Saccharomyces cerevisiae S288C: one gene and its partner. The protein of the gene in region 2 purifies or fractionates together with the protein of the main gene of each other region. This does not show direct contact. Each region holds a gene or a part of one and is shown on either strand. Other genes may lie near its edges.

Region 1 (3,567 bases), on a different chromosome or scaffold from region 2:
GAACATTTAAGATTCACATACTTCCCCGTTTTTAAGATGTTGGCTTTATTCGATGTCATTGTACAAAGGATGAGAAAGGGTGAATTATGGCACGGCATATTTACGATGATTCAAATGGAACAAATGCATTCTAGGATAATCAAGACATTAAGCATTACCTTAGGAGTCAAACTGGACAAAAAGGATAGGCTATTAGAGGAATTGATGGCATGCAATCACGTTGCGAATTTTAGCGTTGAAGATATAGATGAGCTGAACCGTAATATCAAAAAAGAGATTCAAATTTCTTCAGGATTGAAGCCGCCTGTAAACACAATTGACTTAACCAACGGCGAACCATTCGGAAATGCTGTTCCTACCTTCACAAAGACATGGAGTTCATCCTTAGATAATTTAGAAAAACTATCATCGGCCGCTGCAGTTGGTCAGAGCTTGGACTACAACAGTGGTTTACGTCAGGGTCCTTTGGCGGGTGGTGGTTCAAAAGAGCAAACGCCAATAGCCGGGATGAATAACTTGAACAATTCAATCAATGCTACACCAATTGTCGATAACTCATCTGGATCACAACTTCCTAATGGTTTCGATAGAGGCCAAGCGAATAATACTCCTTTTCCAGGTTATTTTGGAGGTTTGGATTTATTTGATTATGACTTTTTGTTTGGCAATGACTTTGCTTAAAAATTTTCTTTCCAAACTCCTACCTATTCATTTCATCAATTAATTAATATTATATAGCCACGAATTTATGAAACTGACCGATAATATAAAGTGCTCAATATATATATATATGTATATAACGGTTAACGTAAGAAGAGCTCTTCCCTCTTAAACATTCGAAAAATGATTGAACCAGTATATTTGGTCGAGCAAGACTTTCTCCTTCGCATATTTTACGGCAGGTATGGATATATCGCCTCTTGCTGCAAACCCGTGAGCCACACCACTGAAGAGGTCTAACTGGTAAGTAGCGTGATTATCCTTTAATTTTTCCTCCGTTAAGTGTCTTAAGTTTGCCGGAAAGATGTGATCCTCTTCCGCTGCTGAAATCAATATTGGTTTCTTGCTATCAATTGCTTCAATTTCCTCGATGCTGACGAAAGATGGATGTGCAATGGCTGCAGCATTGGCAAGACCCCCGTCGCCACTAATGTGTTGGACGGCAAACTTTGCACCAAAACAGTAACCCACAACGCCAATAAACTTTGGGTCATATTCAAGTTTTAACAACTTCATGAATCCATCAACAATTTTCTTGGTGACTTCAGGAGAATGTCTTTGAAACCAGGCATCACGATCAATTGGTTTGTCCGATGAGATAGCATCGCCGAATAAAATATCGGGAACAAAGACCATGTACCCAGCACTAGCAAATTTGTCGGCCGTTAATAAAACATTGTTGAATTTATTGCCATACACATCTGTCAAGATAACTATAACTTTTTCCTTGGGAGATGTAGAGCCTGCTGCATAAGTATCTAAACCGAAGATTTCTTCACGACGACCCTTGGGTGTTCCATCGTGACAAACTCCTTCAAAGCAACACTTGCCAGGTTGATTAGATGCCATTTGATTGAAATAATTTTGTTCTGCTGTAGTTAGACGTAGTGGAAAACTTTAAGTCTACTGAGTCTTGAGACCTTATCACCCTTTGAAGGTTTCTTGCAAATGAGCGTGGTTTGGCATTTTTTATCGGAAAGAAAAAAAGGGCTCCGCCTTAGGCCAGATATCATAGAAATGCAACACTTCCCTAATATAGAAATTTGGGCATTAATTATTTTGAGAATTTTGATGATTTGAATAATTTCATTAACGTAAAGGAACATAGTGCTACGAATCCAACAGTGGACCCAAAAATGAGAGCCGTTTGTCTGTAGTCGACATCTTTTGCTGCTGTTTCTTCTGGCAATCCCGGAGTGTTTTTGCCAGGATCAAGAGCAGCTTCTGTGATTTTAATAAACAATTCATTAAGGGAACTTAGCCATCTGGATGATATGTGCAGTGGGTGGTTCACAAATAGCTCGTCTGCCAGTTCATCTGGTTGGATTTGACACCTTTGTTGCTGCTTATCCAAATCTGCCTTAGAAGCTACAAATACCAACGGTAGATCTTGTAAATGTGTGAATTTGTCTAGAAGCGAAACTAAGTAGGAGAATGATTCTGGGTCGCTGGAATCGTATGTTAGACAGATTACGTCACATTCTTTTAACTTATCCTTATTCTCTAGTATGGCGTATTCCTGTTCTCCAAGTTCTTGCAAAATCAAATAGTACTGTTTCCCACCTTTGAGTTCTAAACTATTGACTGCAATTCTTGGTTTGATTGTCGGAGAATACTCCTCCGAGAAAGATCTGCCCAAGAAGGCCTCTAGCAAAGAGCTTTTGCCGCAACATGGCTTTCCAATGACAAAGCAATTGAACACTTTTCTGTCATTGATATTGGATCTGTAAAGTTTCCCGGAACGGCGTCTCATTTTCCTTGGCTTGGTTACTTGTAGGGCTAGTCTTGCATCTTCCTGAAAGCCAAAATACACCAAGTAAGCGGTAGTTGTGCTATAGTTCAAGAAAGTCGTCATACTCCATTGTGCTAGCCAGCCTTGTAAGGTGATGCAACCCTTGTTGTTTACGACAGTGGAGAAGGGGAAATTCGTTGAGGTCCATAGTTTAGGCAGCCCTGGTGTGCACTTAAATAGACGATGTAATTCTTGATTATTCAAACCACCATCATTGTCGATATCAAACTTCAAAAAAATATCTACAAGAAATCTGTAGCCCTTGGGGCTCAATTCCACACTGGAAGTGTCAGGGACAACCAACCTCGGATGGAGAATTTTGTCATTAATACACAAGGAATCTGTGTAATGGAAAGTTCTTAGGATAGCCCATGTAGTTTCGTGTCTCCCCCTTTCAGCGTATATTTTGTTCAGTACAAGGAAACCATCTTTGGTGATGCCTTTTCCCGGTACGTATAGCTTGCGGTTAATGTACTCTTGATCGTGCTTGGAAATATCCAAAAGCAAATCTTTAATAAAATTCAGTTCGTTTACATCGATACTCTTATTGAAGCACTTTTTTTGTAAGCCCAAGATTTCGTTGTCATCTAAATATGAGTCCTGGTTTAAATCGCTTAAAAGAAAAATTCTTTTTAAAGCCATGACAGCCAATGGCTTTAGTTCACCTACCATGGCATCAAATAAAGGTGATATTGGGTGTGTTATAGCCCTTTGGCAAAGATAAAACGCTTGGTTAAGATCAAACTGTGTCTTGGCACTTGTCTTAATGCAAGTGTCGATTTCTTTAAACTCCATTAATATTGGGATAAATTCTTCATCCTCCACTTTGGTATCGATATCATCATCACTGTTCTCTGACACGACCATTGCATTGGCATTAACATTCGATATGGAATCACATTTATTTTTGCAGAGAATGACAGGAATATTCAACCCCAGGGATCTGAAATGAGGCAACCAAAAGAGAGAAACATGGTCATACGATTCGTGATCGCAATACACAAGCCAAATTACGTCGGCGGACTTCAACTCATGGTCTAAAGCTATGAGGTCCG
Region 2 (4,667 bases):
TTTTGGAATTGCGGGAGATGTAATCGCCGAAGGCACTGGTTTAGGAAAAGCCCTTAATATTCCTGGCAAGTACATATTGAAACCCTTTCCATTATTGAGACTATTGAGCGTAACGCTGTTCATAAGCTCCCTTGTCCTACTGGCTAATCCCACTGGAACTTTGAACATTTTTTCCTACTCATATGTGGTTATGGTGGTCTTATTTATCTGCGCTAAATCACTTTTCAATTATTCTTTGCAGTTTATAGGGGAGGAGACTTCCTCTTTGTAAAATCTAATAGGGCGTGTTCACAATTTTATGCGTCGGGTGACTTCAATTTGGCGCCCGTTGAGATTATCTAAAAAATGCTTTTATTTATTTAAGCGCTTTTTGTTTTGACGAATGTATTTATGTTTTTGTATATATATGAGCGTTTTTTTTTTCCAGATTTAACTAGTTTTCTTTTTCACCTGTATGCACACCATCTTTTATTCCTATATAATGCCTTTTATAGTACTTTGAATCTTCTATATACAATTTTTTAGGTTTTATCTTTTAAAAAGTGTTTATTTCATTAATTTGAATCTTTATTCCCGTGTTGCTTGGTCAGCTCATTCAACTCCTCCTCAGTGACCAAGTGATGCTTATGATTCTTTGGTTTTTCAACCAAATCGCCAGATGTAGGGTCAACTTCACAGGAGGGGACGGATACAAGCCAATCATCCTTTACCACGTCATTCATTAAAACTCTTTGCTTTGGTTCTAAAGCCAACATTCTGCCTATTATTGTCCGTGAATGTCTTGGCAGTAGCCTTAATATTTTATTTGGCCCCCGAACTATATCATCTTCGTCCTCAGGTTCCTCAGTAAATAACCTAAATGAGTTGAAGCTCTTTTTTGGAGCCTTCCAAGGAAATCTTTTAAGGACCATACAGTAAAATATAATAGCGATAGACCACACATCTGCTACTCTTGGATCGTAGGATGTTTGTTTCAATAACTCAGGAGCCAAATAAGGGTCAGAACCCACGATTCCATGTGATTTTACAATGGTATCTTCGTAAGGGTATTGGAACACTACAGCGCTCCCAAAGTCAATCAGTTTCAAGATGCCATCTTTAGTGACGACACAATTGTCCAATTTTAAATCCCTATGAGCTAAGCCCATAGAGTGCAGGTAATTAACGCCGTGGCACAGCTGCTTGAAGTAACAGTTGACTTCATCTTGTGTCATTAGGTTACTCATGACGAGATTAAAAAAATCATATGGCGCATACTCCATTACTAATAAATAGGTGTCACCTTCAGTCAACATATCTAGGGTTTCAACGATATTTTCGTGGTGCAGCGTGGAACCAATACAAAATTCAGTGGTAACCTTCTTAGAATAATTAGCTAATTGAGACTGATTAGTTCCTTCATTGTTTAAGTGTGGTTTTCTGAACATTTTGCAAGCAAATAACTTGCCGTCTGTTCTTTCTACTACGGACACTGAACCGGAAGCTCCTTCGCCTAATTTTCTACCAGGAATACCATATTTTTCTAATAGCTCCACTGGGTTATCTGTTTCGTATAACGCTTTTCCGTTACTTTCTACTATATTTTCATTGGTGTTCAAATTGAGCTTCGGTTTTGTAGGGGTGGATCCACGGTTGTGATGGTGGTGATGATGATGGTTATCGTGATAATCATTATGAATTTTTTTGAAAAATCTTGTTAATCTCAAGGATTTTTTCTTTCTTGATGAGGTATCATCACTACCGCTTGAAGAATTATGCTGTAGTTCCACGGACCCAGGGGTGGAGGCTTGAGAGTCCATGAAGTGTTTGTCTTCAATCTGTTTCTGTAGTATCTCTACGGGATGCATATGTGCCTGGTATGATAAATTCGAAGAGGGTGTATCAGATTTTGCAGAAGACACTGTAGAAATGTTGCTATGAGCTGTAGAGCGAACGGGGTGAGGATGGTGGAAAGCATCTTTTGAGCCTTGATGAATGTAGTTTATTGGATTGTGAATACTATGGGGTAAGTGGGGCACAGTGTGTCCCGTACGAACGGGATTATGATTGTTAGGTAAGGGCCGTGAAGGAGAGTAGTCAATAGGAGCTTTTTTAGCTGAAGTAGGAGAAATACCTGTCAAAGTAGAACTTGCTACTACGTGTGACTCCTTTGACAACGCGCCATTTCCCTGGGGGCTCTTTCCTATGGTAGATCTTCGGTCGTTGGGTTTGTTATACTTTATTTGATCCTCTTGGTCAGAATCTGTATTCTTTTTTGAAGATCTAGAAGAAGACCTTGAAACATCATCTGTCTTTGAGTATGATTGGTTACCACCTCCATTGAATATTTTAGCCGATAAATTCTTCAACTTAGTTGGCCTAAATAATGAAGACAGCGAAGTTGATGAAGATGAGTGTAATGGAGTTTCCTTAACCATTATGCTATGAATTTCAGGCTGCTCTTTTCTGTCCTTCTCTCTTTTTTTCCCTCTCAAATCCTCTCAGCTTATTAGCGCACTAAAGAGTCAGTTTGGGTGAATAGCGTAATCAACTTATGGAAAAGAAGAACACTAGAATCCGTCACTATTGGCTGCAAATAAGTATTATATCTTTTTTCAATGAGAAATCTTGCTTGCCCCATAACAGGTACAATACTTAGCAAGCCAGGAAGAGTCACACTGCAAAATAGATATATGAGAAGCGGAAGTAGCTTTTCCCCTTATAGATGTACGCCGTTCGATATTACCCGAACTGCAAGAAAAGCTTCTCCAAATATCTACTGGCCTCCATTCAAGAAGGCAATTAAAGAGACTATGTGTACATGAATGGGAACTTGGTATGATGGTAGTAATGCTTTATTAGTCATTCCCCTACCCCCTTGCGCAACCTATCATTTTACTTGCCAGATGTGCTCTCCACTGTTAGAGCCTCTTCGCTGACAAAGAATGGACGAGTACGCGAGCGGTGAAACGAGCACTGCAGGCAAGAGAAAGAAAAATCATGCATGATTTGGAAAGCGAATAAGAAATGACGCAGTTGAGTGTTTGAGTTGGAGCCAGCTGTGTTATTCACAGGTTCATTTCGAGAAAATAAACGCCTTTGGTGGAAGCGGACACTATATTTCACATTTTAGCTGTAGAAGTAAAAAATTTATTTCAAGTTTACTTAATCCATTCAAGCAGTGCTTTCCCGGAGTTTCGAATAAAAGACACTGAGGACTTTTCAGTTTGAATTTGAGATATGTTGTGGAAGTTTCCCAATACCAGAACCGCCTTTGAAATCCGGAAGTTTTCTTTTATGTTCTTGTGAATTTTCTATCCGAGTTTTAACTTTCGATATTCAGAAAGAATAGCCGTTCATCTCTTTTATATTATATTTAGCGATGTAATGAAAGTAAAAAAACAAAAAAAAAAAACAACAATAATCAAATGACGCATATCTAAATATTCCAGAAAAGAATATAAATAACGAGGGTGATAAAGCGGGTGCAATTAAATTCTCTGTAGTACAAAAATATGTAATAACCGCAGAACTTGTTAGTGGAATCTCTTTTAGATGTAGCTTGAAGGCTCAATTCGCTCCCCTTCGGTTTGCTGAAGGAAGAACGATGCGGAATATTACTTTGTGACCATGTTATGTAAAGACAATTTCCTATTTTTTTTTATTTCTGCCCATGCATGGCTTATTGATTCACTAAGGATGCGTTATACCTTGTTGTGTTCCAATCCCAGTAAAACGTCAATTCCTTTTCTTTGCTAACTTTGGAGACGTCGCAATCTTCATAGAAGCTCACACCTCGTAATCTGTCTTTGGCATACTCGTAAAATGTGCCCTCTTCACATGAAAAACCTGGACCACTGGAGCAACTCTCTATAGGAACCACAGCATCGTTGACCACATAACGGACGTACGAATCGTTTGAGCATTGAAACTTTTCTGTGTAGACTCTAGCTCCCTGAGGAATGTACCACGACCTGTGGTAGGAATGATCACGAAAGGGAACATGATTGGTTGTTAAATTTCTAGTGTCATCAATCAATCCAGCAGTTGTCAAATAATTTAGAATATCAGTATCGTGCGTAAAGCTCAGCCAAACTTTTTGGTCCAAGTGCGCACTTTGTCGTATTAGCTTCACTGTTGCATTGAACAAATTAGCACCTATAGATTTAATCAATTTGTATCCGGGACCATTTTGGTAGAAGCTCGTCAAATCAGTCTCATAAGAATAATGTATTAACTCTGCCGCGGAGAAAATGTCACAAATGTTACTATAACCTTTTGCGTTCAACTCGAAGGCACACCAAGAAAACAAGGCCGCTGCATCTTTCCTGCTCAAGTTCAGCCCTTTATTTTCGTCATTAAGACGATCGGAAATATTTTCTAAGTAGTCCCTCGAATATGACATTAATATATCATTGTTGGCATTCGAATTCCAATTGGGGCACGAACTTTTGGCAGCTAATGTGTTTGCTCCTGACGAGGAATTTTCGCTAAGTGTTTGAAGTGATATATTAAAGCCATCGCCCAAAGCCTCGGCAAAATATTGCGCAGTATCGTAGATTCTTTTCGAATTTGTGGTGAAGATAGGAAAGTTGGTACAGTTCTCCATCAATTTTCCATATTTTGCTAAAAACTCCCTTGCATGTCTCTTTGCATTCATTTCTCCTGTATACGGGTTCAACACATCA

Evidence for each region.
Region 1: the proteins of RTK1 (region 2) and AIM2 purify together in Saccharomyces cerevisiae (affinity purification with mass spectrometry, with the first as the bait; one large-scale study listed by BioGRID). This does not show direct contact.

The regions. Positions count from the first base shown.
Region 1 is NC_001133.9:51,027-54,593, forward strand, and holds AIM2 (protein AIM2), read right to left. Parts: upstream 1,570-3,567; coding exon 829-1,569; downstream 1-828. Other genes in the region: oleate-activated transcription factor OAF1, read left to right, coding at 1-681; ERMES complex Ca(2+)-binding regulatory GTPase GEM1, read right to left, coding at 1,775-3,567.
Region 2 is NC_001136.10:404,790-409,456, forward strand, and holds RTK1 (putative serine/threonine protein kinase RTK1), read right to left. Parts: upstream 2,418-4,667; coding exon 555-2,417; downstream 1-554. Other genes in the region: MRX9 (Mrx9p), read right to left, coding at 1-168; putative acid phosphatase DIA3, read right to left, coding at 3,662-4,667. UniProt on the Saccharomyces cerevisiae protein: Probable serine/threonine-protein kinase that may be involved in ribosome biogenesis.